4 linked regions of the Rattus norvegicus genome follow. The protein of the gene in region 4 purifies or fractionates together with the protein of the main gene of each other region. This does not show direct contact. Links are inferred from orthologs where the notes say so. Each region holds a gene or a part of one and is shown on either strand. Other genes may lie near its edges. The genes, in order: Stx7, Stx12, Nsf and Napg.

Evidence for each region.
Region 1: the proteins of Napg (region 4) and Stx7 purify together in Homo sapiens (affinity purification with mass spectrometry; 3 studies listed by BioGRID and IntAct, counting the BioPlex papers as one, with this or other methods). This does not show direct contact. The link is inferred for Rattus norvegicus from reciprocal best matches to the Homo sapiens genes NAPG and STX7.
Region 2: the proteins of Napg (region 4) and Stx12 purify together in Homo sapiens (affinity purification with mass spectrometry; 3 studies listed by BioGRID and IntAct, counting the BioPlex papers as one, with this or other methods). This does not show direct contact. The link is inferred for Rattus norvegicus from reciprocal best matches to the Homo sapiens genes NAPG and STX12.
Region 3: the proteins of Napg (region 4) and Nsf purify together in Homo sapiens (affinity purification with mass spectrometry; 3 studies listed by BioGRID and IntAct, with this or other methods). This does not show direct contact. The link is inferred for Rattus norvegicus from reciprocal best matches to the Homo sapiens genes NAPG and NSF.

The regions. Positions count from the first base shown.
Region 1 is NC_086019.1:23,052,251-23,060,184, reverse strand, and holds the start of Stx7 (syntaxin-7), read left to right. Parts: upstream 1-3,719; 5' UTR 3,720-3,750; exon of another isoform or gene 3,751-3,756; intron 3,757-4,012; exon of another isoform or gene 4,013-4,058; intron 4,059-7,934. UniProt on the Homo sapiens protein: May be involved in protein trafficking from the plasma membrane to the early endosome (EE) as well as in homotypic fusion of endocytic organelles. Mediates the endocytic trafficking from early endosomes to late endosomes and lysosomes.
Region 2 is NC_086023.1:150,350,817-150,358,139, reverse strand, and holds part of Stx12 (syntaxin-12), read left to right. Parts: intron 1-1,684; coding exon 1,685-1,822; intron 1,823-2,377; coding exon 2,378-2,421; intron 2,422-3,597; coding exon 3,598-3,703; intron 3,704-5,218; coding exon 5,219-5,291; intron 5,292-6,466; coding exon 6,467-6,549; coding exon of another isoform or gene 6,550-6,693; exon of another isoform or gene 6,694-7,323. UniProt on the Homo sapiens protein: SNARE promoting fusion of transport vesicles with target membranes. Together with SNARE STX6, promotes movement of vesicles from endosomes to the cell membrane, and may therefore function in the endocytic recycling pathway.
Region 3 is NC_086028.1:89,271,498-89,278,820, forward strand, and holds part of Nsf (vesicle-fusing ATPase), read right to left. Parts: intron 4,441-7,323; coding exon 4,275-4,440; intron 3,802-4,274; coding exon 3,727-3,801; intron 3,459-3,726; coding exon 3,271-3,458; intron 1-3,270.
Region 4 is NC_086036.1:58,707,369-58,715,220, forward strand, and holds the start of Napg (gamma-soluble NSF attachment protein), read left to right. Parts: upstream 1-3,333; 5' UTR 3,334-3,440; coding exon 3,441-3,496; intron 3,497-5,932; coding exon 5,933-6,000; intron 6,001-7,852. UniProt on the Homo sapiens protein: Required for vesicular transport between the endoplasmic reticulum and the Golgi apparatus.

The sequences.
Region 1 (7,934 bases), on a different chromosome or scaffold from region 4:
AGTTCAGACAAGTCATGGCTAATGTCAACTATCAACTTATCGAAATTTAGAATCACCTTGTAATAGGCCTTTGAGCATGCCTGTGGGAGATTGTCTTGGTTTGATTAACTGAGGTGGGAAGACCTGTCCACTGTGGGTAACACCATTCCCTAAGCAGAAATCCTGGACTAGAGAGGAGAAAGTGAGGAGGGCACAGACATTTGTCAGTCCCTACCACTTGACTGTAAACTAATGGTTGTCTTGTGTTCTTGATGGTGCTATTTCCTTGTCATGATAGTTTGTAACTCAAAAGTGTGGGTCAAAACAAATTGCTTTTGCCAGAGTATTCATAGAGCCAAGGAAAAGTAATTAAGACAATATGCTAATCTTGCTTGAAAGAGACCTTAGGAGTTACCTGTGATTAGGAAAGATCAAAAGGGCATTAGCAGCTTTGTATGAAGATTGCTGTCTTGACGAGCGCTTCTTTAATCCTCAAAATGTCATATGTTTTATATTAAGTATAAAAATAGTCATAGTGAAATACATTCAGAAACGTTGGATCAAATAAAGGCAGGCTCATTTCTTTACTGAGCCATTAAATAGATGCTAAGTAATAAAATGTAGTACCACAATTTTCAGGAATTCCTTTGGGATCCATTTGCTCTCTGAGCCTCTAAGCTTAGCAGAGTATTATACTTAATTTTTCTCTTTGAAGTAAAATGACTAGGAAAGAATCCAATTATTATGGTTTAAAAAAATGGCAACTTGGGGCAAGCTCAAAATTTGGAATTCCCAGCTTTTGTCCCTGTATAGCCAGTGACTAGTAGGGCAACTCAGAGGTCTTTGAGTCTCAGTGTCCTCTCTATGGACCTGTATTGTATCCTTCCTTCTACCCAGTCCAGGATTCTAGCAAAAGTAATAGGGAAGGGCGGATGGAAAGCATGTTAGATATCAGTTCCATTTCACAAATCCTCTCTTTGGCTCTCCATACCCAGTTGTTGTACAAGTCTTCTTGAATATTTGTCACCTTAACCTCACCTCTTCTCTGTCTTATTTACTTTAGTGCAGCCCTTCAACATCTCCAGTCTTGATGAAGTTCTTTAGCGAGGTCCGCTACTGTTGCATGGTGGGCGTGGTATTGTTACATGGTGGGCGTGGTATTGTTACATTATGGGCGTGGTATTGTTACATTATGGGCGTGGTATTGTTACATTTTTGGCATGCTACTGTTACATTTTAAGCATACTATTGTTACATTATAAGCATACTATTGTTACATGATTGCCTTTCTTCTCTGTAGTATTTCCCTTTAATTTTCCTTACTTCTCCCAGACTTTCCTTTGTGGCAGGAAGTGAACAGCACTTCTTACCTTTCATCAAAATCTTGTAGTAGCTCAACCCCCACCACTCACTTAACGTGAGACAGGAGCAATTTGCTTTAAGGATCTCGTTTGCATTCCTAGCATCTTGACTTTTTAAAAAATATGTATTTATTATATATAAGTACACTGTATCTGTCTTCAGACACTCCAGAACATCAGATCTCATTATAGATGGTCTTCAGCCACCATGTGGTTGCTGGGATTTGAACTCGGGTCCTCTGGAAGTCAATGCTCTTAACCACTGAGCCATCTCTCCAGCCCTTGTCTTTTGAGTCCATGCACGATGCTTCATCCGAATAAAGTAAACATTTACACGTATTATACACACTAAAGTCAACATGCCCACTCCTTCCTTGGCAGAAAGGTCCCTTTCCATGTTGTCTTCCAATAAAACTTTATATAACTTTCCAAAATTTTTGTTCCTGTTTTCACTTCAAAATTTATTGCTGGCACTACAGTAAGGCACTCATCTTTTGCGTTAGCGCCGTGCTCTGTATAAATCTCATCACAGTGTGTGCTCTCCCGGAAAGAGCACCACTGCCAGCTAGGAAACCACCGGACTCTACTCAACCATGAAGTCTGTACTACAAGGCCTAATAGTCGCTGCATTACAGACTCTTAGCAGTTAGCAGCTGTCTGGATTCGGTGGCACGAAGGACTTCAGAGTTTTGGGCAGGACACTCAAGCCTTTGCTATTCTTTTTTTTTTTTTTTCTTTTTTTTCTTTTTTTTCGGAGCTGGGGACAGAACCCAGGGCCTTGCGCTTGCTAGGCAAGCGCTCTACCACTGAGCTAAATCCCCAACCCAGCCTTTGCTATTCTTAATTATGTATGGGGCCTGGAAGTGTTTTGTGTTTCAGGTTCCTGAATCTGTATTATGAGGAAACAACTAGACTTTCTAAAAAGACTCTGTAGCTTTAACAGCTAACATGACTTTTTATTGCAGAGGTTTTTGCCTTGTGATTTTTAAAAATATAACAAGTTTGACAAAAGGATTGATTTCAAAGAAAAACCTGAATTTCCTCTGTATCTTAGGAAACATATAATGTCACTATGATGGGCTAATATTTCTATAAGTTCACAGTGGAGACGACAGGTAGAACTCAGGGGTGGATCAACTACCTGAAATGTGAGGCCTTGGGTTTGATCCCTAGTACCTCCAAACAGAACCACAAACAACCTGGGACAGGCCTGTACTCTGAACGATGAGGAAAGAGGGTTGCAAGTTCAAGGCCTACCTGGGCTACACAGTGAGTTCAAGGTTAGTCTGGGCAACCTATAGAGACTTTGTTTCAAAACCAAAAACCTCTGGTGATACAGGACACAGGGAAGGCATGGGCTTCTCATGGTCAATGACCTTGGTTCAGTTTCCAGTGCCGGAAAAAAGCAGCAAAACCCTACAGTTCACAATGGCTCTAGCTGTATCACATCACACTTTAAATGGACGCACATCCTTTGACCAGTGTGCTTAGTCCACTGTGGATCCTACTTGGAAGATGCGGTGTTTGAGTCAGACTTAAATCACCGATGTATGCTTGCATGTGTAAAACCAACCAACGTACAGTTTGCTCTGCGGTTCTGACTCACAATAGTCTGGAACTACCACCACTACCACCCCACCCCCACCCCCTACCCCCACCCCCAGCCTCCACCTGAATTCGACTGCACTTTTGGTATCATGCGTTTTCATATTCTTTCCAGAAATAACACTGTCTTAATTACAGGCAAAGGCCAAGGCAAGATCGTCTAATTAATTTGGAAAAGTATTTCTTTTACCTGAACCACTGATGTTTCTCATCTGAGAGTCACATGTTTAAAGAGTTATTGTTGGAACAGTCTGTGCTCTTAAAGCCTGGGAAAACCGCATCCTGTATTTCAAGGACGAAAGACCCATCATGAGCCAAGAAACACCCTTACCAAGTGGGCATCGGGAGGTGAGTCTTCATTTATTCTTTGCGTGGGCTTAGCTAGGATTGCCTTGACATTTTTGCAGTGACATTTTAAAATGGAGTTGTCAAGTCTGCCACAGAGCTGAGGGTTAGGAAACAGGACCTTCAGGAGCTGAGGGTGCACCCTCAATCCAGGAAGGATGGCGCCACCGAATAAAGAACGCAGCTCTCCTCTATTGGATTTCTTCCTCTTTTCTTGCATGTAGACATCACTTTGTCACCCATCAAAGCTTGGTTCCCTAGGAATTTTGCCAGTCCCTCCAAGCTTCAGCTGTCACTGGCCAATGGGAGAGACGCGAGCCCCGCCTCCTTCTTCCTGGGGCTTTGGCCCTGCGCATGCGCATTGGGAGTGCTTGCGCCACCGCCCATTCGCTGAGACTGGCTGCGCAGGGCCGTGGGCCCTCGGTGACAGCAGCTGGAGGTGACAGAGGAAGCCAACGAGGTCAGGGTAAGAGGAGACTGCAGAGGCGGGGGCGCGGAAGGGACACTCCAGAACCACTGCTCGCCGGTGGTTGGTTTGGGGTGCGCAGAGCGGGGCTCCCTAGGGCGCAGGGCCAGCGCCTTCCTCTCGGGCTCCCACGCCCCGAGGCGGACTCGGGAACGAGCACCCAAGCGCGCGGCAATGGAGCCTCGGGGACCTGACCTGCCGCCAGATCCTGGCAGGCAACAACCGTGTTTTCATTTTCTGTCAACTTCCCCTCCAGAAAGACAGAAAGGGAAACGCGATGGGCCCTGGTCATCCGGCCACAGGTTCGTTCTGTGGCCCAGAGCATTTGCTTGCTTGGCTGTTGGCCCTACTCACACAAGCTAACTTTCTCTGACCTACCTTGTGCACGTCTTTAATTGATTTACCCACCAAGACCCTTAACAAAGTATTTTGAGAATTCCCATATGTGTTTTGTAGGTTAAATTCAGACAAAAGAGAGAGGGGGAGAGGGAGAGGGAGGGGGAGGAGAAAAGAAGAAAGAATGAGAGAGAAAAAATGTTGGGAGAGGATGCTTTATAGTCAAATGGTAATTTTTTCCTTATAGTTTTTAAAAATTATGCTTGAATTTTATATGCATATATTATTTTTGGTTGCTTTAGATCTCGTATTCTGTTAGGAATTATTATTTACAAGTTTTCCACAATCAGGAAAAAAAAGGAAGTAACTGTGGAACACTGGTTTGGTCCGGTTGAAGGTAGGCATTCCTTTAGGTGTACCTGAGCTGTGCTGTGCAGAGATTGATAAAACTGTTAAATTGTATCGAGGTGGGGATGGGCCTTCGGATTTGCAAGCTGCTTTGGAAGTTGGCCCTGGGCTTGTGACTTGCTAAGAATAAGGCTGTAGTTTCCCAGCGTCTGGGGAAGTTAATATAACACAGTATTAACTCATTGACCTCTGGGTGCTTTCCCTTCAGCGAGCTCACTTTTTATGCTGCTCCCGATTAGCAGTCATTTCTAATTCTGATTAGGATCCCAAATGCATCCATATGGTGCTGGTGGAAAATTTTGAATAATGTTGAACTATATGCCACTAAATGGTGTGTGCACAAAACCCTGGTTCAGTCCCCAGTACTGCAAGGTAATATTTCTGCAGTGTCTGATAGTCCTACTAGGTAAAACTCCCACCCTTTAGTCTGAGTGAATTTTGCTCTGGTTCAGTGTAACTCGAAATATTAATGTGTGAAACTGGAGAAAAAGAATGCTTGGTGAATTAACTGAAAGCAGACAGTGTAGCACAATGGTTGGATCCATGAAGGAGCTGGGTGAAGACGCACTTGAGTAGTTCGTGGATGAATCCTCATCTGAGAGTTGGAGCACCCTCGTGTTCATTGATTGGGTCCTATGACTCCTCTCCTGCTTGTGTCAGGACTTGAGAACAAAGTGTGAGTGGTCCAACCTCCTGAGGATGATGCATGGCTCGAAGTAGAAGTTACACTGACAGAGCCGTAGTGGAGACTGCTCATTTCAGATCCGGCGTCTCTGGTGTGTGATAACACCTTGCAGGGAGAAAGAACTAGGTGGGCGGGTGTCATGGGAAGGGTCATCTAGAGACAGAAAAGGGACACCAGAAAAGCCCAGGTGGCAATAAACCTGAAACAGTGTTTTAGAAATGTTAATATTTACTCTCAGGCTGGGCATGTGTTCTTGGGATATGGGTACACTTGTTGATTCACACTTCAGACACTTATTCAAGACCAAGTACTAGGGACTAGACTTTGTCCAAGATTTATACTCCCCGTACAGCACTCACCACACACACACACACAAATACAAACCCAGGGGAGTAAAGGGGGAGGAAGCTCATAGTTTTATGCTGGTACTCATGATTTAAAAAGCGAAACTGGCCATTCGATTTCAACAGGCTACATTTCAGGCCAGTTCTCTGCTCAGCGGAAGCCTTTAAGAGTCTACGATGGTATGTCCAGGAGTAACTCCGGGGTAGTGTTTTACATTCAAGAATCTATAACGAAATCCCCTTCGCTTGTTTTTAGATTGTACTTTCGACACGATCTTGAGACAGCCCTTACCGTGGGTGTTACAGTTTGGCCCCCGCCTCTCCTCTTTCACCTCAGTGTTTGTATATCTTCATAAAAAGATAATTACTGAGAAGTTGAGTTGAACGCTGGCCAATTGAGCTTTCTGCGGGGAGAGAAGTGAATATGTGAGCTGTTCCAGCCACTGGCTACTGGCCCCATCTAGTTTCCAAGCACTTGAAAGGTAGCCTGGGTGGCTTTCATCTACCTTAATTCACTTTAACAGTGCCTGTCAGTAGCAGCTGGTCTGCAGGAAGTGCAGGTGCGCGGTGAAGAGCTACATAATTATTTTGAGCGAAAGGAATTCCAAATAGGTTTTCAACACAGAATAATTTTGGGCATTGCAGCTCAGGCTACGTCCTGCAGATGGTTATAGAGCACAGGCACTTTACAAACACAGAATCAATCAGCTCACTTGGAAAAATAGACCTCAGAGTCATCTATCGATAATTATTCATGAATTTATATGTTTATTTTTTTTTCCAGCAAAGTTAGCCATTGTCCCACTTAACTTGTCTTACATCTAAAGAGCCAACTTGTCTCTTTTAAAATGTCACCATAGCCGAACAGGACAGAAAGGGAGAGTACTGCTCAGTGGTGTTACCACCGTCCAAGTTTGTTTCCTTGTTGTAAAGAAACTACCCCCGGGCCGCAGAAACGTGTCAAGCGTGGTCGTGTAGTTGACCTGGTCCACCTGTGCTAAGTTGTTCTACAGAAAGCACTAGGGTTTAGTCTAGCGTTTGCGACAATATGAGCTCCCAGATTTACTGTGAGAGTTTAAGTCTTTTGCTCATCTCAGCGATGCCTCTGTTTCTTTGTAAAAAAAAAAAAAAAAAAACCAAACCAAAACAAAAACTACAAGAGTAGTTATGCCTACTACAGAGGCTTTCGAGATTGAGAGAAACAATCATAAAAGGCACCATGTGCAGGAAATAATTCAGCCCTTTCTCCGATTCCTGATCCCTCATCACTCAAGACAGGACCGTGGTGGTCATCTCCTTACCCTTTCTCTGGTCAGTTACGCACAGATGAGGAGGGGAAGCCCTTAGAGTGAGTGAAGCCCACTTTTCTCACCACCAGCCACGTTCTCCAGTTTGCTTGACTACAGGGAATAGAACAGCAGGTTGTGATTGTGACTGTCTGACTTAAATTATGGAAAGGAAAAAAATCCCTTTAAAAGAAAACACTGACAAAGTTTGCACTGTATGCGTGTGAATTTTGCGAGGTAAGAGAAAGCTGGAAGGCTTTGCAGGAATGAACCGGATCCTGACATTAGTCTCTCTGTGTGTGGGGAGTGTAGGTTTCAGGGGAGTTTGTGGCCATATGCCTCTGATGAGAGCCCCATAGGTGCAGGAGCACATCAGACCTGTCCTCTGTGTATAGGAGAAAAGCACTTGCTCCCATTATCTTATTTTGATCCTGGCAGGAGGCCCAGATGCTAAGTATCTCGCCCAAGGTAGAGCTTTTCTGGTTGCCACTTATCCTAGCAACTGAACAAGCAGGTGATGAGTGCTAGTAACTTCAAAGAATGGGGGGCAGAGGGGGGAGAGAGAGAGAGAGAGAGAGAGAGAGAGAGAGAGAGAGAGAGAGAGAGACTGAGACTGAATATTAAAGGTGCCTTCTGTAGGTAGGGATGTGAGACTTATTTGTACCCATGGTTACAGGAAGGAGTTATTCACAGGGTGTCTATGTTGACTGTAAACCAAGGGTCTTTTTGGAAGCTTGACTGACTGACAGAAAGATGCCCCTGAGCTGACAGAAATTGTCTTTATCCATTAAGAACAATATTATATGTCAATAAAAGGCATTGAGGTACTCACACAGCTCCTACAAGGATCTTGAAAATACATGGAGAAGAAACAAGTCAGTCACAGAGAAAACACACACACACACACACACACACACACACACACACACACACATATCATGATCCCACTCATGTGAAACATCCAAAATAGAAAACCATTCAGGTGGATTAATGGTTCCAATGGCTGAAAGGTTGGGGACAAACAAAAGATGAAAAATGATGGGAAGGAACTTTCTTCTCGGAGTAATATGCATTATAAAAGTCACACCATTGTCACAGACCTTTGTTAACACATTAAAG
Region 2 (7,323 bases), on a different chromosome or scaffold from region 4:
TAGATGGTGAGGTCAGGAGTGGCGTTCTTTCCTTCCTGCCACAGTCCTCCTGGCTTTGCCCTGAGTGCTGGGATTACAGTCCACAGAATTCTTTGGGGTTGTTTGTTTGTTTGAGACAGAGTTTCACTGTGGCCTCTGGCTGGCCTAGAACTGACTTTCTCAGGCTGGCCTTGCACTCACTGCCTGCCTCTGCCTCCCAAGTGCTGGCATCAAAGGCGTACATCACTGTGTCCAGCCTGCTAAAATCTTCTTAATGCAGAGATGAAAATCCCAGAAGGAAGAAAACTTTCCTCACCTAAAGTGTCTTTCAGTATTGCTATCACTTCCCGGGTTTGAAGTGTGAGTCCTTCTGACCTATGCTCTTCCTCCGTCCTAGTCACCAAGTCATAATGTTTCTTAAACTCCTTTCTGGGCCCATTACTACCATTATGTCCTCTACCCGTTAAACTACATTGCTACAGTCATTTTTTTTATTGCTCATTCCAGCTAGCAAGCATCACAGCCTGGTCTCTACGTTAGTAGGTTGTCCTTGCCAGGCAGTGTCCCCCACTCAGTTGCTGTTGGTCGGCTCCTCAGAGGTGACCCTATGTGTACTAGTTTGACCTTTAGAACTGGCTAGTCAGCCCTTCCCTGCTTCCCTGTTTTTCTGTTTTAGTTCTCTTACCAATATACCTTTGGATCCAACCAAACTACCTTCTTTTTATTTTTTTTTTTTAAAGATTTATTTATTTTATGTATGTAAGTGCACTGTAGCTGTCTTCAGTCACACCAGAAGAGGGCATCAGATCCCATTACAGATGGTTGTGAGCCACCATGTGGTTGCTGGGAATTGAACTCAGGACCTCTGGAAGAGCAGTCGGTGCTCTTAACCACTGAGCCATCTCTCCAGCTCCGCCCCTTTGTTAAGTTCTGATATTTTCCAGCTTTATGATGTAGGAAAATAAGCTATTTAAAAAATATAGTATTTGTTGGCTGGGCAGTGGAGGCACATGGCTTTAATCCCAGCATTTGGGAGGCATAGGTAGGTGGATTTCTATGACTTTTGGAGGCCAGCCAGGACTGCACAGAGAAACCCTGTCTTGAAAAACCATTAAAAAAGAAGAGACTGAGGAGGAGAATGGAGAGGAAGAGCAGGAGGAGAAGAAGAATACAGTATTTAAGTCAGATGCGTAGCCCAGAGCGGGTTCTCGGTTTATAGTTAAGTAGTTAAATAAGTAGTGTTGTGAAGGTAACTATAAGTTATAAGTTTTTTTTTAAGTTCTTGAAATTTTTTAAAATTCAAAAAAAAACTATAAAGGAAAATAATGGTAATCTTCAGGAAAACTAATAACTTAGTATAGAAAAGTAGTTTTAATATTTTCCCCCCCCAAAAAAACTAGACGCTCTGAGCTCAAAGGCCTCCACTATGCATTTAGATTCTCCAGGGCCCAGATATTCCAAATTGCACTTCCATTTCAGTGTCGTGTAAACGTCACCTGGTTCCCACGCTCACCTGTATGTTCTTACGTGGGTTAACTGGGGATTTGACTCAGGAAGGAACAACTTAGGATTTAAGGAAAAGCCCGTTTTGTAATGACTTTTGTACCTCGAAATCTCTTAAGTATATAATTGTGCTTTTAATCAATATTAAACCAAATGAATCTGAGTTCTCTTGAGATTTAAACTTCTTGCTTACTGTCTTCAGCGCCAACAGAAGCTTCAGAAGGAGCGGCTCATGAATGACTTCTCGTCGGCCTTGAACAATTTCCAGGTTGTGCAGAGAAAGGTATCTGAGAAGGAGAAAGAAAGCATCGCGAGAGCGAGGGCTGGATCCCGTCTTTCTGTAAGTTGACTCCCCAGAGAGGCTTTTACCAGCCCAGAGGGTGCACCCAACACGTCCCCTTTCTCCACCAGAGAGGCTTTTACCAGCCCAGAGGGTGCACCCAACACGTCCCCTTTCTCCACCAGATAACATGCTTTATGTTCTCGGTCCAACTGAAAGGCAGATTTACTTCCTACCTTTGTTTTTTCATTGTTTTTAAAAGATTTATTTATTTATTGTGTATGGAGTTCTGCCTGCATGTACACTTGCAAGCCAGAAGAGGGCATCAGATCCCATTACAGATGGTTGTGAGCCACCATGTGGTTGCTGGGATTTGAACTCAGGACCTCTGGAAGAGCAGTCAGCACTCTTAACCGCTGAGCCATCTCTCCAGCCCCACTTTCTCCTATTTTATACTTGTTTCTTACTCAAGACAGATCGACAGAGTGTTATCCATCTTACAGATGCCATCAGAGTGGAGGGTTGTCACTCCTTAGTACTGAAGCTAAGGCAGCTCTTGTTTTGTGCATCTCTCATGTTTTTTGGATAACAGCCCGATAACCGTCTGTTTTCTAGGCAGAAGACAGGCAAAGAGAAGAGCAGCTCGTCTCATTTGACAGGTAAAAGTCACTCTTGCAGTCTGCTGGATAGTCACTGTGAATCCATACCTTTGTGTCCATGGAGGTTTTTCTGTATGGAGGTTTTGCTTGCGTGTAAGTCTGTATACCGTGTGTATGCCTGGTGCCCACAAGGGCCAGAAGAGACCTTTGGATCCCTTGAAACTGGAGTTCCAGAGAGTTGTGAGCTACCATGTAGGTGCTAGGAATCAAACCTGGTCCTTTGTAAGAGCAACCAGTGCTGTCTGTTGATCCATCTCTCCAGTCTCTCTGTGACAATTTTACTTAAAAATGAAAAAAAAAAAAATCAGGGCTGGTCGTAGTGGCATATTCCTTTAATCCCAGCACTTGATAAGCAGAGGCAAGTGGATCTCTGTGAATTCAAGGCTGGCGTGGTTTACATAGTGAGTTCTAGGACAGCGAGAGCCACAGTGAGAACCTATCTTGAGAAAAGAAAAAAGAAAAAGAGCATAAGTAAGTAAGAGGAGGAGTTGAGCCAGGCACGGTAAAGCATGCAGATGACTCAGTGGTTGAGAATACTGGCTGCTTCTGCAGAGCAGCGGGTTCAGTTCCCAGTACTCATACGGTGGCTCACATTAGTTCAGTAAATAGTACATTTTCCTTCTAAGTGCACTCACAACCATCTAAAACTCCAGTCAAGGGGTCCAAAGCTCTCTCTGGCCTTTGTAGGCACCAGGCTTCCACATGGTGCACAGCATTACCTGAAAAGAAATCAAGTTGCACACGTTCCATTAGCTTTTAGTTTGCTTTTCTCTTAAGTGGAGTCGATCCCAAATCACAGCCCCAAGGGATTCCTGTGCGCCAGATGTGGCTCTGACAGATGAGTCCGTGAAAGCTGTGTGGTGGCTTAGAGTATTTTCCTCCATTTAGTGCCCCTGGCACCAGCCCTGCTTACACTTGGAGAGTTTCCTGCAGAGCTGGGTCTGTGCAGTTAATTCATCACGTTAAACCTCTGGATACTTTCCTTGTCTAGCAAGACTGCAAAGAAGAAGGAAAAGAAAACCCTAAGTGGAAAAGACCAGGCCCACAGGGATGGTATTGGTAGCAGAAGAGTTGGGTCCTGAGCAGCATTTACCTAGGCTCTGCTGTTAGCAGAAATGTAGCTATGTCTCCTCACGGTAGAGAGAAGGAATCAACCGAGTGCTTGTCTCCCCGTAGCCATGAGGAGTGGAACCAGATGCAGAGCCAGGAGGAAGAGGCGGCCATCACTGAGCAAGACCTGGAACTTATTAAAGAGAGGGAAACGGCGATTCAGCAGCTGGAGGTGAGAGCAGGCTATGGCGTTGGTTTGGCTCAGGTGTCTGCAGGTATTAGGGGATTTTTTTCCCCCAGACTAATATGGAAAGGGTTGGATTGAGTCTTTGTGTGTTTTACATTATCTATCAATTTAGTTTTGGCAAAATTCAACTACTGCTCAGTCTCGTTGGCCTGGGCACTCAAAAGCGCCCAGATTCTTTTTTTTTTTTTTCTTTTTCTTTTTTCTTTTTTTCGGAGCTGGGGACCAAACCCAGGGCCTTGCGCTTGCTAGGCAAGCGCTCTACCACTGAGCTAAATCCCCAACCCCTGAACTTTAAAATTTTTAAAATTTAGTTTGTTTTGTATTTTTAAGTTTATGAGTGCTCCTGGGGATCAGACGAAGGGGTCAGGTTCCTTGGAACTGGAGTTCTGGGTGGCTGTAGGCTGCCATGTGTACGCTGGCAACTGAACCGGGGTCCTCTGCAAGATCAGCGAGGGCTCCTAGGTGCCGAGCCACTCTCCAGCCTCCTAAAGGGAGCGATTACTGGGGGCTGCTTACAGTTTAGACAGGCAGGCATGGCATGAGGCAGAGAGAGAAACCCGGCCTGGCTTGGGCTTTCGGAACCTCCTCTAACAAGTGCCCACCTCCCTATCCTTCCTGCATGGCCCACCTCTGGGCAATACTTATTCAGACCACACCTCCTGGGGCAATACTTACTCAGACCACACCTCCTGGGGGAATACTTACTCAGACCACACCTCCTGGGGCAATACTTACTCAGACCACACCTCCTGGGGCAATACTTATTCAGACCACACCATCTGAGCACACCTTTAACAGGTGCCAGAGCACTGTTCTTCCACTTGACTTGTGTCAGGCCTTGGCTTATTACCTAGGAAAGTAAAAACCTGAACATGGAGAATCTTCCCTCCATTACTCCTGGAGATAATACTGTGCGGCTGAGCCCACCACGCTGGGAAGTTCGGAACTTTTTCCTGCACAACGGATGTCCTTTCACTCTCCCAATTGTTCCCCAGCCTCGGAGCTATTTGTCAGCTGGAAGCTGTTTACAGGCTGTCATCCAAGTGACACAGACCCGGTAGTTCCTCACACAGACCGAGTCTGTCCTGGGAAGCCATCTCCTTGACAGTTTGTTTGTCTTCCATTGTGTTCCCCAGGCAGCACAGTCCTATAGAAGCCATTTAAATTCTCTAGTCATAAGTCGTAGTCGTCACTGATATTTGCTCTTCCTAGAGCTGCCCTACTGAGCACATGTCCACCACAGGACTCCAGCTTCCGTTGGGTACGGCTCAGGCTAAAATGACTTGACCCGTTCCCAGGAAACATGAGCAGTTAACACAGCTCAATGAGTGGGTCTCCTGACTTTTGTTCTACAGTGTTAGGTAAGCAGCAGTAGATAGTTTCCTATTCATGGAGAAACTTTAAAGACAGGTGATTGTTAATCTTTAGGGAAGGGAAGGAAAGAAATTTCTAACATGTTGCTTAATGTGAGCTAATTTTTTTTTTCTAAATCTCCCTTAGGCTGACATTTTGGATGTCAATCAGATCTTTAAAGACTTAGCTATGATGATCCACGACCAAGGTGATCTGATTGGTACGTACTATAATCCATCTAGCCTTAGGGTGAGTACAAAGAGCTCAGCAAGATGGGTCGTTATGAACTTACTTTAGAAATATCTTTGTTTTAATATCTGAATTCACTTTCTTATGCAGTCAACTGTTGAGGCTAAAGAGGGTGCTTTGTGTTAAGCCCTGCTCACTTTTAGAGCCTGCAAGTCTGTTAGAGCAAGAGCTGTCGGCACCCCAGCTTTGAGCTGCAAAATAAAAAAAAAAAGTACAAGGAATCTTTTATATATCCCTGCGCAGAATTTTCCTAGTTAATAACATTTTTGCCCCATTTACTTTGCGATGTATTCTATCTGTATGTGTAGATACACAAGCATGTGACCTGGACGACCCCCCCACCCCTGGTCTTTTTTTTTCTTGAACCCTATATAGGTGAATTACATAATTAGTAACTCCTTGCTATTAAATGTCAGTATTTATTTCTGAGGAATAGTGCTGTTCTTTATCATGTTAGAAACGTGTAGCTGGGAATGGTAATGAGGCCTGTAACCTCCGTACTCCTGTAGAGACATGAGGTCAGGAATTCAGGCCAGCCTCAGCCACATGGCATGCTGTTGAGGACGTTGAGGCTGTCTTAGACTACATGAGACGCTATCGAAAAAAATTAAATGCGAGCTGGAGAGATGGCTCAGTGGTTAAGAGCACTGACTGCTCTTCCAGAGGTCCTGAGTTCAAATCCCAGCAACCACATGGTGGCTCACAACCATCTGTAGTGGGATCTGAAGCCCTCTTATGGTGTGTCTGAAGATGGCTACAGTGTACTCATAACATAAATAAATAAATCTTTAAAAAAATAAAATGAAAAGAAGTAAATTTTCGTTCTCATGCTGGCTAGTCTGGATGGTAATGGTGACTCTAAGGCCTGAGCCATCAGATCTGCTCAGAGGGGCTGGATAATGGCACAGCAGCTAAGAACAGCGGCTGCTCCTCCAGAAGACTTTGATTCTCAGCACCTACACGCCAGCTCACAACCATTTGTACCTCAAGTTGAAGGGATCCAACACCTTCCAGGCATGTACATGGTATACAGACATACATGCAGGCACAACACCCATAGGCTTTAAATAAAAAGGAAGAAAATGTGCTTGTTTGTCTCAGTATTGAAATACCTGAATTGCTGAAATCTCATTGCATCTTTTACAGATAGCATAGAAGCCAATGTGGAAAGCTCAGAGGTGCATGTGGAAAGAGCCTCTGATCAGCTACAGAGAGCTGCTTACTATCAGGTAAATGCCAATGTCAGAGTCACTCTGTGCTCAGACTCAGTGACCCTCCAGGCTGTGCTCACACAGTGCTGCAGCTGCAGTCTTTTGCCTGAGTTTAAGCTGGAGACCGGCAGTCATAATTTGCAGCTCCAGTCCCATTTTTAGTATTTATCTTTGCAACCAGATATCCAACACCATCAAATCCTGAATTCTATACAGAAGCTGTGTGGCTGTAAAGCTAATGTCAGGAGCCAGCGTGATGCGTAAAACTTTGTATCCTGTTGGGGATTTGGCTCAGTGGTAGAGTGCTTGCCTAGCAAGCGCAAGGCCCTGGGTTCGGTCCCCAGCTCCGAAAAAAAAAAAGAAAACTTTGTATCCTAAATAAATGGAGGGGCTGTCAGGAGAGCTGCAGTAAAGGCCGAGCTACAGAGACAGGAGACACCACGTGGACTGCTAGCTCAGCAGGGTGCCTTAGAGCCAGCTGTGCACACAGCTCAGTGTAGGCTTTAATCATCATGAAGCTGTGCCCAGGAGGTGATTTTTATAGTTTTATGGCTTTTATGAGTCTTTTTTGTTCTGTTTTTTTGAGACAGGGCCTCACTGTGTAGTCCTGGCCGGCTTGGACTTCACACTTTGTAGAGCAGGCTGGCTTGGAACTCACAGATTCTCCTGCCTCTGCCTCCTATGTGCTGGGATTAAAGGCGTGTGGCATAAGACCCTACTCTTCTTCCAGTCTATAATCCAGGTTTTAGATACTAAAAATGATGTCCTCATTTGATGTTGCATGGCTTTTTA
Region 3 (7,323 bases), on a different chromosome or scaffold from region 4:
TCTAGAGTGAGTTCCAGGAGAGCTAGAGCTGCACGGAAAAACTCTATTTCTAATAATAACAATAAAAATGTTGTGTGTTGGGGCTGAAGAAGTGGCTCAGAGGTTAAGAACACTGACTGCTCTTCCAGAGGTCCTGAGTTCAATTCCCAGCAACCACATGGTGGCTCACAGCCATCTGTAATGGGATCCGATGCCCTCTTCTGGTGTCTGAAGACAGCTACAGTGTTCTCATACACATTAAATAAATAATATTTAAAAATGTGTGTTTGTGTGCGTGTCTGTGAGCAGGATGTTGTATATGTGGGTTGGGGCATTCCTGATAATATGTGCATGTGGAGGTCACAGGACAACTTAGAAGAATTCTTTCTTTCCTTCTACCAGGTGAGCCCTGGGGTAGAACTCAGAATGTTAGGCTTGGCCGCAAGCACCTTTACCAACTGAGTCGTCTCACTGGCCCCTTATTAACACTGTTTATGTCAAGGAAGGAAAATGGAAAAAAAAGAAAATCAAACAGGTCCTTCATAGATGAATGGACTCATCTTACCCAGGGTCCAACACTAACTATATTCTCTTCTTATCTTTACTGTTTAGAAAACCTTTGGGGAAAATGGGCTAAAAGAGTTATAGCAGCTATGTAGGGAAATTCGGAACATGGCGAGTTTGATTAGGGATCCACCTCTTGGGCTGATGGCTCCGGTAAAGGTGCATGACGTGAGGCCTGGGGACTATAAGACTCCTTGAGCCCACACGAAGGTGGAAGAAAACCAATTTCTGCAAGGTTGCCCTTTGACCTCACACAAGTGCCCTGACGCGTGTGTACACTCCAAACCTCTCCCTCTCTCACTCGCACAGTGGTAAATGAACAACTTTAACTTAGCCAGAAGAACTAGTGGTTGGCTGGGTCTGATCAAGTATAGTCTAGAACCAATGACAGGAAGCCCCCAAATAATGAAGACATGCTCAACCCCAGGCTGTTACTTCCTGCCTGATCTGTCAGAAACGTCCCCCTTGTCTTGTCCCGTGTCACCAACCCCACACTCACTTAGCACAGCTGCCAGAGAGATCTTCTGTTTAACACTATGTCACTACTATTCTCAAAACTCCCCGAGGGTTTAACACCTCTCACAGGAAAGAGTGCACTTCTCCGCAGAGAATAAAAAGCTCTGCGCTCACCCTCAGCTTTGGTCTCCTGGCTTTCCCCAACACTGCCTCTCTAGCACCGCACCTCTAATGTCCACAGTGAAGCAATGTGAAGTTACTCTAGCCCACCTCTGTCTGTGTCCCTGTGCCTCTGATGATGTCCCTTTTACACGCTGAGAGCTACTCACAACCTCTGGAAGATGCCTCTGTCTGTCTCTGCTTCTCAATTGCTGGGATTAAAGTTATGTGCCACCACTGCTTGGTGTTTTTATATTGTTTCAGAATTTATTATTTGTTAGTGTGTGTGTGATGGGGAGGGCGGCATGTGTGACAGTGCATATGGATTTTGTGGAGTTGGTTTTCACCTTCTGCCTTCACATGGGTCTGGTGATCAACTCAGGTCATAAGGCTTGCACACTATGTACTGCAGGATGTCATACAGGTGAAGGCAGCTACAAGACAGAACGAGGCCTGTCACTGAATGAGGAGGAAGAATGGTTGGGAGAAAAGTTTTAGAGAGGAAGAGACTGGAAGAGGAGAAGTCTCAGAGAGAACATGGAGGTTGATGTTAAGATTCCTCTCTGCACATTTACAGGTTGTTATGAATGTTCTTAAGGGATGCATGTGTACAGGGCTTTGTATGTTTAGGTGGGCAATTATATCTTATCAATTGGATCAGGGGTTATTGTGTTCTGTTTTTTTATGTGGTGATTTAAGTTTAAGAGAGTATGTGGTGGCCAGAGACACTAGGCCTCCACGGAATTGGGATGTGTGTTTCTGGCATGGTGGCAACCTGCCTTGGGAACTAGATGGGTAGAGAGACTGCTGCCAGGCTCAGAGAGAAGCCATCAGCAGTGTGATATGGGCTGGAGCAGAGCGGGTGAGATGCTTTGCTGACTAAAATGAAGATATCTACCAGATATCTTGGGGCACTGCAGTGCTGGACCTAGTGCGGGGTAAAAGACAACAATTTTTATAATTTCACAGCAACAATGTACCTTTATCCACAGTGAGCACCACACTGGCCTGATAAGCTTTCTGGAGTCAAAGTCAGCCAGAGGTTTCCCACACGCTGTGTGACTACTTCAGGAAGGAAGACAGCACAGTGTTATGAAAGGGAGAATCAGGAAAGGTTTAAGCAAAGGATAGTTAGTGCACAGGAGGTAGGTGGCAGCCATGACAGTAGAAAAGCACTGCTCTGGGACCTGACATAGGACACAGAGGTATGCGGCAGAGATGACTCTGAAATCTTAACATGAGAGGCTGGCATAAAAGAAAAAGGAGCAAGAGAGGAGGTGGTTTGTTGGATCTTAAATTTGGGTTCTGAGAAAACACCCAAGTAGAATTACTATATATGAGTCAGAAAGTTAGAAGACTGGCACTGTCAGGGATGAGATGGAAGTCTGCAGCTACAGAATTATAGGGACAAGTGCAGCATGAGAAGCACCTGCACCAAACTTCACCGATCCAAATCAAAGGCCTCTCGAAAGTATTCTTACCATAATACATATTATATGATTGTACTAAGCCAAGCATGATGGCTCCAGCTACACAGGAATCTGAGGCAGGAGCATTACCAGCTCAAAGCTTACCTGCAATACATAGCAAGTTCAAGGCCTGTTGTGCAAATTAGTAAGCCCAATATAAAAAATAGTCAAAATGGATAGGTCTGTAGCCCAGTGGTAGAGTACTTGCAAAACATGCATTAAGGCTGTGAGTTTAGTCCTCAGTGGCACAAAGACAGATAAACAAGAAAATCAGAGCCCCATCCCCCCAACACTTTGTACTAGTCCATTTTCCTGACTCTGAATCCCTTGAGGGAAAAGGTCGATTCATCTTCATGTCTAGCCCAAAACTAGTAGCAGCTATCCAGTATTTGCTGCATGATGAGAAAGACTCAGCTTCTTGTAAGTTAAGGCCATGCAAAAGTCAAAAACAACAATCTTCAAAACCACACCTGCCAGGCGGTAGCGACCAAAGGCAAGTAAGCTGGTGGTCACCCTGAGGAGACATTCCCCCTCCTCACCATCAAAAGCCAGCTTACTCTCCCTGGCATATGTGGTAAAGAACGGGGGGCATGGCCCACACAGGCCATGTGTTCTTGTCTGTCTGTCCATTGAGTTTCCTGACCTTTATGTGTCTGTTCATGGCTGTGGACTGCGCTGCTCGCACCAGGCCCTCCAGCTCGGCGCCACTGAAATTCTTAGTCTCCACAGCCAGTTCCTTGATGTCCACATCCGCAGACAGTAGCTGGTGCCCTCGCATCCTTGCTGTGTGGATGTGAAGGATCTGCAGTCGGCCCTTCTCATCTGGTAAGCCTGGTGAGACAGAAGCAGACATTTCCCTAGTCTTTGGAGTCCTTTGGAGGTCACAGTCCCAGAGCTTTCCTTCGAGGTGGTCCAGCTGTAGACAGCTGGCAGTGAACATTACTGAATATGAGGTTGCTCTCATCAATAAAGCCACATGCGAAAACACGTGTGCATGGACACATAGGCACATAAGCACCGGTGCAAGCACACACGAAAATGTACACACAAGTCTGTACGCACATGCACATGTATGCAATCTGAGACCTAGTTTACTTACCTATCTCCATCTTAACTTCCAGTCTTCCAGGTCGAAGGAGAGCCTCATCAATCAAATCTGGTCGATTGGTCATTCCTGAATGCAGATATTAAGAGCGGTGAGCAAATAAATGATCAGAGTTCAAAAGTGAGATTAAAACATACTTCCACTCTCTGCAAAACACAGCGACCTCATTAAGGACTTATTACAAAAGTCAAACACAAAGCAGCAGCACTGAACTAAGAACGGCATGTGTATTTTACCTAGTAGGAAACAAGGAACGAGTTTGCAGTGAAATCTCTATTTAAAAAGCAAACTTAAGCAGCAAATACATGGCTGAAAGAGAGCGGAAGGGTCTTCCCAGCTCCCGGCCTCCCCTCTTCTGTATGTAGCAATTTTGATGTCCACAAGAAGCGGTAACGGTAACGTTTTCCTTTTTAAAAAGCATCCTAATGCAGCAGCTCAGAATGTGCAACGGTAAAAACATTGTGGGAGAAAGCAGCTTGGCCCCGAGGCCCAGCTGCAGGCAAGCCTGCATCGTCGAGGTGCATCCTTTACTTCAGACATACCAATAACGAGGATGTTGTTCAGCTGCTCGACGCCATCGATCTTGGACAGCAGCTGGTTGACCACAGTGTCGTGCACCCCGGTGCTGCCGGCCATGCTCCCTCTCTGCTTGCAGATGGCGTCGATTTCATCAAAGATGATGATGTGCAGGCCGCTGTTGGCACCGAGCTAGGAGGCAAGGAGATCCGGTTAGAAATCACAACCTGGACACATCAATAAACAAACTAACCGAGAAATGCAGAACGAAGCACTCGACAGGTTGGCTTTGCTGCATTTTGATTAATAAATGTAGATGAGTGGAAATCAAATCGTGGATGTTGCCCTCTCAAAGATATCAGAATTGCAGGACAGCTAATAATTCAGTAAGTTCACACGGGCTTCTTAGCAATTTATATTTAGTAATTATGCTTCCCATGAGGGAGCAGAGGGAATGAGCTAGAGAACCTGAGACCATAACCACATGGTTACTATGGGGTGCAGTAACATTGCAATGTGTGCCCATAGCATGTGACAATCAGATAAGGTAACTGACGCGTCAAACATGCAACAGTTCTTCACTTGGGGGATGATCAAAGTCCTCTCTACTGTCGTGAAATATAGACTTAATTGATGTCGATCATGATTCTTTTACTTTCTATGTTTAACACAAAGACGAAACAAGGAATAATAAAACAGAAGAGATTGAACATAACCTAATTAGGAAAATATGTAAATAATACAAATTAAGTGATGAACATGGCGAACCTAAGGATTAGGTTAGAATTCACTAATCTCTGAGTGTGTGTGTGTGTGTGTGTGTGTGTGTGTGTGTGCATGTGAGGTGTGAATGTGTGTGTGTGTGAGTGTGTGTGTGTGTGTGCACGTTGTTTGAGACAGCTTTTCTATGTAGCCTTGGCTGGCCTGAAACAGACCTGAACACTGGGATAAAAGATGTGTGTGGGGTTGGGGATTTAGCTCAGTGGTAGAGTGCTTGCCTAGCAAACGCAAGGCCCTGGGTTCGGTCCCCAGCTCCGAAAAAAGAAAAGAAAAAAAAAAAAAAAAGATGTGTGCAAGCACACCTGACCTATAACAATATGATCTTTCAAAGAGGTGAAATGGGCCACTGAATTGGCTCAGCGGGTAAAGCCACTTGCCACCAAGCCCAATGACCTGAGTTCAATACCCAGGACTCACAGAGTATAAGAACTGATTCCCACAGATTTCCCTTTAACTTCCACACACACACACACACACGTCATAGTCCACACATATCCACAGTCATTCAGATACTTTTACACACACAAATACACACGTGCATACATACGCAACTTTAAAAGGGAGGTTTAGGGATATAAATAGATCAAGCCTGGGGACCTGAGTTAGATCCCTGGAATCTATGATAGAAGGTGGCTCCCAAAAAGATCAGTCCCCCGATCTCCACACACATACATGCACACAAACCCAAATAGTAAATTAAATTAAGGGATGTAGTCTTACCAAAGGTAAATGCTATTAATATGACAATATTTCTATTTTAATTTTACAGTTATTTATGGTGTGTGTATGTACATATGTCTGAGAGCCAGGGTTCACATGTGGAGGTCAGAGGACAACTTGTGGGCGTTGGGTCTCTCCTTTCACCAAGTGAGTCCTGGGAACTTGAAGACCCACTGCACAGGAAGAGCCCTGCTCACAGCTTGACCAACTCAGCTGCCGCCCTGACCCAGATCCAGCTTCAAGTCAGTCCACACCAACAGCTTCTCTATCTACGAGCCGAGCTGCTGGAGCATGTGGAGGAGCCAGTGCTGCGGAACCGGATCGGGGAGCACGTTCTCACCACCGAGGATGAAAGCCTGAAGGGGGGCTGTGATGGGACTGGAGTCCCTCTGGAGAGCCTGAGAGACCCACGGAGGCTCTGAGGGCAGACCAGGCAGCAGGGGAGGTGGACTCATGAAACTGGGAGGAAAAATGGTGGAGCAGAGCCCCGTGTGCAGGGGAGGACAGCTAAACCATAGACTCAGTGACAAAGGGTATGGAAGCGACATGGGCAGCTGTGGCACCACTGAAGTCCGTGGGGACACCCGTGGTTTGTGCTGCCCTCTGAAGCCATAGGATGTCTGTGACTCATGCCGCCATCACAGGCTATGTAAGTATCTGTGGTCGGTGTTGCTGCTGGAGCCCATGTGGATGTCTGTGGCCTGTGCCTCTGCCAAGAGCCATGATGGTGTCCATAGACCGTACTGCAGCCAAGGGCAATGTTGACGTCCATGGTTCACACTACCGTTGAAAGCTGTGGGAATGACCGTGGTCTGCGTGGTCATCTGTATCCCTGTTCACGTCCGTGGTCTGTGCCCCTGCTAGGGGCCATGTTGATGCCCATGGTTTGTGTCATCACTGAAGGCCATGTTTCTACGTGTGGCCTGTGCTGCTACACGAGGCCATGTTGATGGCCTTGCTCCTGCTGCTGCTACTGCTGGGTGATGTGTTGATGCCCATGGACCATGTTACCACCAAAGGCCATTGGGATTTCTGTGGTCTGTGCTGTAGCCAGAAACCATGTGGAAGTCTATGATCCTTGCTGCTGCTGACTATAAAGGGTAAGAAAGCTTCTTTTCATTGGTGTCAATGACTGCAGCCTCACAGGTGAGAATGAGAGGCATAGAAGGCTTCTGTGACAACCTCTTTTCCTTCTCCTCCTCTGTAGGTTGATGTCAATATGCAGGTGTGGGCTGGCACCAGTTAGGTCAAGGTCATGATTAGACAGTAAAAAAATAAGGCAGGGACAAGGTTTTTGTGGGAGAGAAGGAAGGAGAATCGAGATGGAAACTGAGAATGACCCAGACCTACGTGGTCCTGAATTGCCAAGGTAGCTCAGACGGATTTCTGTGGGAAAATTTATCTTATCTAGGTGGGTGGTTTACATCCTTATCAATTGGTTGTAAGTTTATTGTGCGGATGTATTATGGATTGAGAATTTAACATATAATCTGACTGCTGGGTTATAGTTTGTTGAGCCTTGGTTTTAAGGGGTTGTTGGGAGTTTACATAACTATTAGGGGCGGAAGTTGGGAA
Region 4 (7,852 bases):
GGGATTAGTCTTATCATCATTTGGAAGTTTCTTCCAATTGGACTGAGATTTTGGGAAGTTATTCTTGGCTTTGGTTGGAATAAAACCAATCCCATCCATCATGGTTTGTTATCTTTATGAGTATTAATTAACAAGTTGATAACAGCAACCTTCATTAAAGAATAATGCCTGAATCTCAGGGAGATTAATGTGGAGGCTTTCCTTTTGTAGACCATCTTGTCCAATACCTGCTCCACCATTCCAGCTCTGGGCTCGATTACGCACTGATTCCCTGCTCTTATTGGCCCTACCCACATGGGCTGATGGACAGTCCACTCTTCACTGCCACTAACTCTGTGTAATTGGTTCACCTTATTCTCTCACACTCTGTTTATACTCTTGTCAAGGTCAACTGTTCCTCCCGGTCCTCATTCACCATATGTCTCGTCACTCCCATCTGTCCCTTCCCTACACTTTTCCTTGAAGGAGTTTTTAGAACAGTGGCCTAATTCCCCTGGAGCAATCCCTGCCTTATTATTCTAAGAAGAGAATGAAGGGAGAACGTGGCGGGTATTAGTGTCCTCACGGCCGCCTCTTGCTTTTCAATGTGAATGGAAGTTATTATGTATTTAATAAAGTTTCCCTAACCAAGGGGTTATCTTTTCGAACAAATAGCACAAAGGTTGGTGTGGCTGTCATTCTCTTTTCCAATCCTTATTTACTGATGCTGAAATATAGGTAGGTGAATATTGTGCCCATCATAGGTCACGGACTCCACGAGGGCAAGCAAGCCGTACCTTGCTTAACAATTGTGTCCCAGGAAAACAAGACTAATATTTTGGGCAGAGTGAAGGAGAAATAAGTAATAACTTAAAAGTGTGCACAGGGGCTGGGGAGATGGCTTGGTGGTTAAGAGCATTGGCTGTTCATCCGGAGACTCCAAAGGCAGCTCACAGTTCTGGGCTCCATAGGCACTACATGTACATCACGGACAAACATACATGTAGGCAAAACACCCATATACATGAAATAATAAAAATAAACACTCTGTGATAAAAAGAGGGCAAAAGGAGGAGCATCAGGATCTGAGAGGTATGGCCTAACAGAACGTGTCAGCCAGCTTTCTATGTCTAACAAGATGTTCAGACTCTCAAAGAGCCTGGATTTCTTTCACAGCTTTGTGTGGGTTAAGTCTGCAGCCAAGTAGCCTCCTTTCCTTTGGGCCTATGGCAGTAAACTGTGGCAGGAGACCATGGTGGGAGCTCATTCAGTTCCTAGCCTGGAATGAAAGTGAGAGAAAGTATGGTTCCCACTGTTTTTTCTAGAGAGAGCCTGTCTTAGTTAGGGTTTTACTGCTAGGAGCAGACACCATGACCAAGGCAACTCTTGTAAGGACAACACTTAATTGGGACTGGCTTACTGGTTCAGTCCATTATCGTGAAAGCAGGAGCATGGCAATGTCTAGGCAGGCATGGTGCAGGAGGAGCTGAGAGTTCTACATATTGTTCCAAAGGCAAACAGAAGACTGGCTTCCAGGGAGCTAGGATGTGGGTCAAGGGCAGTTCTACATGAGGTGAGTTTTTTTTTCAGAGTAGAAGGAAAGATGGAGGGAAAGTCTGCAAAGAATGAGTTTATGATGACAGAGCACAGGACTTATCGAGGACAGAATAGTAAGTGTGAGAAGGGGCAGCGGATTGGCCAATAAGAAGAATCTGTCAAAGGCCAAGAGATACTAGATCGAGATAAGAAGCCAGAAACTAGGAAAGAGGGCTCCTAAAATCGGCACCACAGAGAACACACTAGTATTTGTAACTGAAGTCAAGGATACTTTCCTGGAAATGGGGTGGCTGTGCTCATTGGCCTCCTGTTACTGTTGGAAACATTCCAGATCATTTGTTTATGTGGGGAAGTATGTTTTCTTCATGGTTTCAGTCCATGGTGACTTCTCCCCTTTGCTTCTCAGCTTAGGAAGCAAGGCAGTACAACATGGTTGGAGCAAAGTGGCTCATCCCATGTCGGCCAAGAAGGGGAAGATGGAAGAGGGGCTGGGGTCCCTACATACCCTTCAAGGATAGAAACAGCCTGCGAGGACTTACTTATTTTCCTTCCACCAGGCCTCACTATCTAAGGGTTCTATCAGCTCTAATAGGTGTTGGTTTATAGACAATTCCACTAGGCGCCTCCTAGGAACCTAGCAACAGCAACCTAGCAACAGCTTACCTCATTACCTGCCACCATGTGTAAAAGAGGATTGCTGGTATCCCTAGCTCTCTCTCCATCTTCTAGTCTGCTTCCCCCTTCCCCCTCGCCCTACCTCTCCTCCCCCCTCTCTCCACACACACCCCCTCAATACCCCCCCCCCACCCCGTGATCCCAGCAGGTCTTTTCCTCCTTTCTTCTCTCTCTCTCTGTCCTTCTCTGTCCCTGGTCCCCTCACCTTCCGCCCTTTTCTGGCTCTACCACTTCTAGCTCTGTTACCAAGCCCAATAATCTTTTCTTTATACTAGGTTTGTCATATAGTGTGACTGATTGCTTAGTCTGCGCCCACCAAGATGCTCACTCCCGCCACAATTATTCCACTATGCCACCGTTTTACAAAACACGCTAGATGTTGGGCATCAAATCTACAGTGTGTGGCCCTTCAAGAGACACTTTTCAGACTCTCAGTATCTAAGGTGGGTGTAAGAAAAGATCATTACAGATGAAAAACTGAGAGGCCGCATAGGCGTGGCAGAAATCAATATGTAATCCCAAGACTCCCACTAAGTATCAGCAGAGCCGCCAAATCACCTCTGCTAGACTATTGCAAGGTCCCCTCCCCGTCGGTTTGAAATGCTAGACTTATTATTTGACAGTAACCAAGGATTACAGTCTGTTTTTATGACTGACTGATACATAACTAGAATCAGTTATAAAAGCTGTAATGGGTAGTGTACCAGCACTTGGAATATAAAACAGAAGAAGGAAATCATAAAAGATGAATGATGCGCAAGTACTATCATAGATGTAGTAAAGAGAAACTAATAAATTGCAAGGACAAATAGGCAAAGGTTCGACAGCATTTTCGCAGCGTGAAGACACAGGGCTCCTGAGAAGAACGCTTTCTTGTTTTCCAGGACTAGTAAAGACCAGTACTCGACTTCTATTAATTGCTCCTTAAATATTTGTAGGGTGCAGTAACCAACGCTCGAAAGAACGCACCCCTGTAATTAACCGACAACACCAGCTTGAGCACCTCCAGGTTAGCTCCGCATCACTGCGCTTGCGCGAGGCCTGGCCCCGCCCTCCTCGTCCCTTCGTCCCACCCATTTCCGGGCCAGCTTTGCCATAAGAAATTTGAGCTCTTCGCTTTCCGTAGGCCCCTTTCCCGGCTTCCTCCGCGGCGTTCCCACGCCGACGCTCTAGGTGTTTTGCTGAGCTCTAGGCTGTTTCACTCTTCGCGTCAGCAAGCGGCCGAGGCAATGGCAGCCCAGAAGATAAACGAGGGGCTGGAGCATCTAGCCAAGGCAGAGAAGTAGTACGTCGAGTCGCCGCCGGGCTGGTGAATCGCGCCCCTCAGCCGTGCGCTCGGGCTGGTCGGGAGGGAGGGTCATGTTGCTGTCCGTGCTCGGGGCGGTGCCTTGCCTTTTGGGTCAATCCCCTGCAGTCGATCGTGCCAGCCTGCGCCGCGTCATTTGCTGCAGACGCCCCTGTGACAGCCACGTCTGCCCGGCGCCAGGTCCTCAGGGTTTGCGGCTGCTCTGCTCGTTGCGGGCTTTGGCGTGGACACCTTGTCTCATCTTATAACATCCAGAATGACACTATGGAGGAAATCTTGCGGTGGAGAGCTACTGCTAGGAAAGAGACCCTGGTGCAGTGCGGGGGTGTAGACTAATTCTGAAAAACTCTCACTGTCAGACATCCTATTCACTGGGGGCAAGGTCTAAGCTTCCTTAGTCTTGTGGGTGTTCGCCACCTTTTGGTTCCGGGCTCAGTAGGCATACGTACTGGAAACTGCGAGTTCTCCTTAGTCCTCTCGCCCACTTTCGTGAATTACAACATACATATTTAACGATTATCGACTGTAAGACATTTCTTAGTACACTGTTAGGTGAATCATAAACTAAGATCTTAACTAATAGAAAGGCCTCAGTTTACAAAAGAGGAACCGAGGCGGTCTGAAATTTCCTGGAGACCTGTCCAAGGCTGCTCAGCTGAAAAGAGCAGGGCAAGTTTTAGGCAGTGGAAATTCACAAGCCCTTTCTGGTATACCACCTTGCCTCCAGGCAGTGACTAGGAAGGTGGCTGTCAGTGCAGAGGGTGATCCCAAGAACATGCATGGTAAAAACAAACATAAAAGAACAGAACATGTGCTCTTAGCTATAATGAAGTTGCATTTTGTGAACTTCAGGAGGATTTTGACCATCGGAGCTAAGGAAACCTTAGGAGCCAGGATTAGCATCCTTTCGTAATGGCTTTGACAAGTCCTCTAGGCAGTTGTATGTGGAGTTGAGAACTAGACCCCTAGGCATCTCTGTTGGGAGAAGACCTGTAAGAGAGGCCTTCTGTTAAGACAGGATTATAGATGAGTGGGCTTGCTTGTGGCTGCAATGGGGTCTGAAGGGTGCTTGAAGTTGCTGTAGGTAGGAGAGCCAGCAGGTGGTAGGACGAATGGATCAGAAGTGTAGGAGAGGCAGTGGAATTGGTCTCTGTTTTCTTATGGTGGTATCACTCATTATCACTGTATTCTGGCTTAGGAAAGTTTTCTTACTTAGGATGAAACCAGTCAAGGTCCACAACAGATTAGCCATCAACCTAATGTTAATCGGGCCTTCATTTTTGCTAATTAATGGTGCTCAGCTGCCTGGAGTTGATCTGCAGTTTTAAAAATCTAGCTCATTGAATGTTATGTCTTGTTTTGGGGAGACATCCATAATCACAATAAAGGGTATAATGGGTTCTTTGGTGAAGGGGCACAGGACTTTATTTTGCTGCATATTTTTCTCAATTTTGTAGATTAGACATTATATGTAATTGAAAATCTGCATATACATTTAAATCTTGTTACTATATATGCATATGTTAAATGAAAACTGTAGAATACATTTTACAGGGATAAGTAACTTCAGAGTTAGACTCACAGAATGAAGGGTGCACTTCTAAGGGCCCCATCTCTCAGCTTAGTAGCCACTGATGCAAATGAAGTTAGCAGTGTTGAAAGTAAGCAGACTTTCAGTAATTGAGCTGAAATTTATAAGATGGTGTTGAGCAATTTTTATGCATAGCCAAATTTAATACCTACTGAATTAGCTTGAACTGTGAGTTTGATTTTATTTTAAAATAAAAGTAAAATATTGCAGACAAGGCAAGAAAGATAAACATCATTGGGTATCTTTTGCTCTGGCTTCTAAGCCAGCATCAGTTCTGGAAGACTGTTTCTGTTTGTTGTCCTAACACATGACTTCTCTTTCTCCCTCCTGTTCAGTGGTGGTTGACCACACCCTTTATTTTCCCTCTGAGTGTTGTTCCGGTAGTCCCTGTAGTCTCCTCAGGAGATGCTGCCTGTGACCTTGGCATCACAGACACCAATGGCTCTTTAGTTGTATTCTCCCTGATAGCGTCTCAGCCGCAAAGGAAGATGTCCCTCCAGATCCTCTAGCTTGTTAAAGCACACCTTATGTGGCTTGTTAAGACCCAAGAGTCTGGTTCTGTAGATCTGGGGAGGGCTCATCGTACATTTCTAGCAAATTTCTAAGCAGTTGTTGATGTTCTGATCTGGGCACCGTGCACTTAAACGTTCTGTTTGGATGGTATGTAGACATTTCAGAAGAAGGGACATTGTTAATGGGGAGGGGAGGGAGGAAGAAGTGAGGGTGCATTTATTGGGAATACATCCGAAGACAATTGAGAAGGTGAGGGATCTGTAGCTGATGCTGTCTTTTTAAATAAGAAATGTCTTTCTTTCTCATTCTAGCCTGAAAACTGGTTTTTTGAAGTGGAAGCCAGATTACGACAGCGCTGCCTCTGAGTATGGAAAAGCAGGTATTTGTGCCTGGAGCCCTGTGCCGTTGTGTGTGTTGACTGGATCTGACAACGTTGTCTAGCTAGCAGTTCCAATGCCTCCCGGTAAACTTCACTCTTTAAACAGAAAAGCAGACGAGGACAGCTGCACAGGCTGCTTTGCATGTTCCCACACTTACCCTCAGCTAGAGCTGAGCCAGATCCCGGTGCACGCTCCTAACAGCAGACATGGGGTAGTGTCAGCTGTCCGGTGTCATAGGTGTTCATAAATGTTGCTTAGTTCTGTCTTAGACTTTCTGCTGTTGATCAAGCAATTTTATTTTTAATTTTTAAAACTAGTCTTGTTGAAGTTCTACCAATCTCTTTTTTCCACATTAACATTTATGAGTTTCATTTTGAGATACACTATCAAATGTTCATGAAGAGTTTTAAGCTGTATGCACATTTTAGTAAATTCACTTTCTATAAGTATAAAATATCTTAAAATACGCAACATAGGGAATTTGTTAAAAGTTTAGTATTTTGTTAAGGGATGATGCGATAGCTCTGAATGTCTGCTGTCGTTTTGGATATAAAGTAATAAAACATAATTTTGAGGCTGGCGAGGTAGCTTAAGTGAAGGAACTTGCTGCCAGTTGCCAGGCCGACCATCAAGCCGAGCCCCTGAGTTTGATGCCCTGGATCTTCACGGTAGACGGAGGGATCTGACCTCTACAGCTTGTGTCTGACCTCCCTGTGCATGCACAATAAAAATTTAAACCACCATGGATTTGAAAGTCCTCAAGCAAATTTTCATCTGTGACTATGTTCATGAGAGATCACCTAGAGCAAGCACTTTTCACTAAATTTTAGTTTCAGTTTGTCTCCAAAGAAATAACCTAGAAGCTACCATCATCATACACACAGAGGGTTTTTTCTCATTCAAAAGGGAAACCAGAGTCTTTAGCCCTGCATTTAAATACTGAGTAAACTTGTTGCTTACATTATGCAAATTGCTTATGTTTTGTATTTAAAGATAAATTTGCTTAAAATTGAGCTTTAGGTGGACTTTGGGTTATACTTTATACACAGTTGCTTAAGACCAAAGGCACATTTCTCAAGTGAAGGAAATTTAACAGCTTTGCTTTGTGGCTCCAGGGCCATATGCTGCTTCCATGAATCAATCTCCTGAATCACGTGTCCTGTTAAAGTGCCCTTCGTTTGTTCTCCTTGAGTGGAGGCAGAATATAGCCCTTCGATGGAACTTTTAAAGACAACTAGACAGGCAGGAGCAGGAATATTGTAGTATTCTGTTTGTTTTCTACACTTTAAGAGTTCTTCGAGAGTGGTTTTAAGAAGTAGTAGATGAGAACACTTTATGTAGAAGGGAGACTGAGGCCGGAGCATCTGCTCAAGTCAGAGGTCAGAGGTCAGTCTGTGCTGCGTAGTTGAGTTCCCAGCCAGTGAGGGCTGCAGGTACGGTGGAGACCCTGTCTCAGAATGACAAACAAACAGAAGACAACAGTTTCCTTAAATTAGTATGCGTCCTACTTTCTCATAACCCACCGTTGGTAGATTTTCCCAGTGTTAACATTGTCTTTCAGGGCCATCCTGGTTGTCTCACCCCTGTGAGCCTTCCTTGTGAAACAGCCTGCAGTGAGGGTTAGCTCTTTGAGGAGTATAGATAACTAAATAGAAAAGCTTTGTGTATCAAAAATGACTTACCTGGAGGGAAGATTTAGTACATGACTAGTTTCGGTTAGCTGCCCAGGAGGAAGCTGGAGAATGAGGCACCCTCGGGTGACTACAGACCCCTGCTCTGCTGTTTGGCAGTGGGTGCTAGAGGGAGGGGCTCTTGGTGTTCGATGGAAGCTGTGCCAATGTGCTGCTAAAA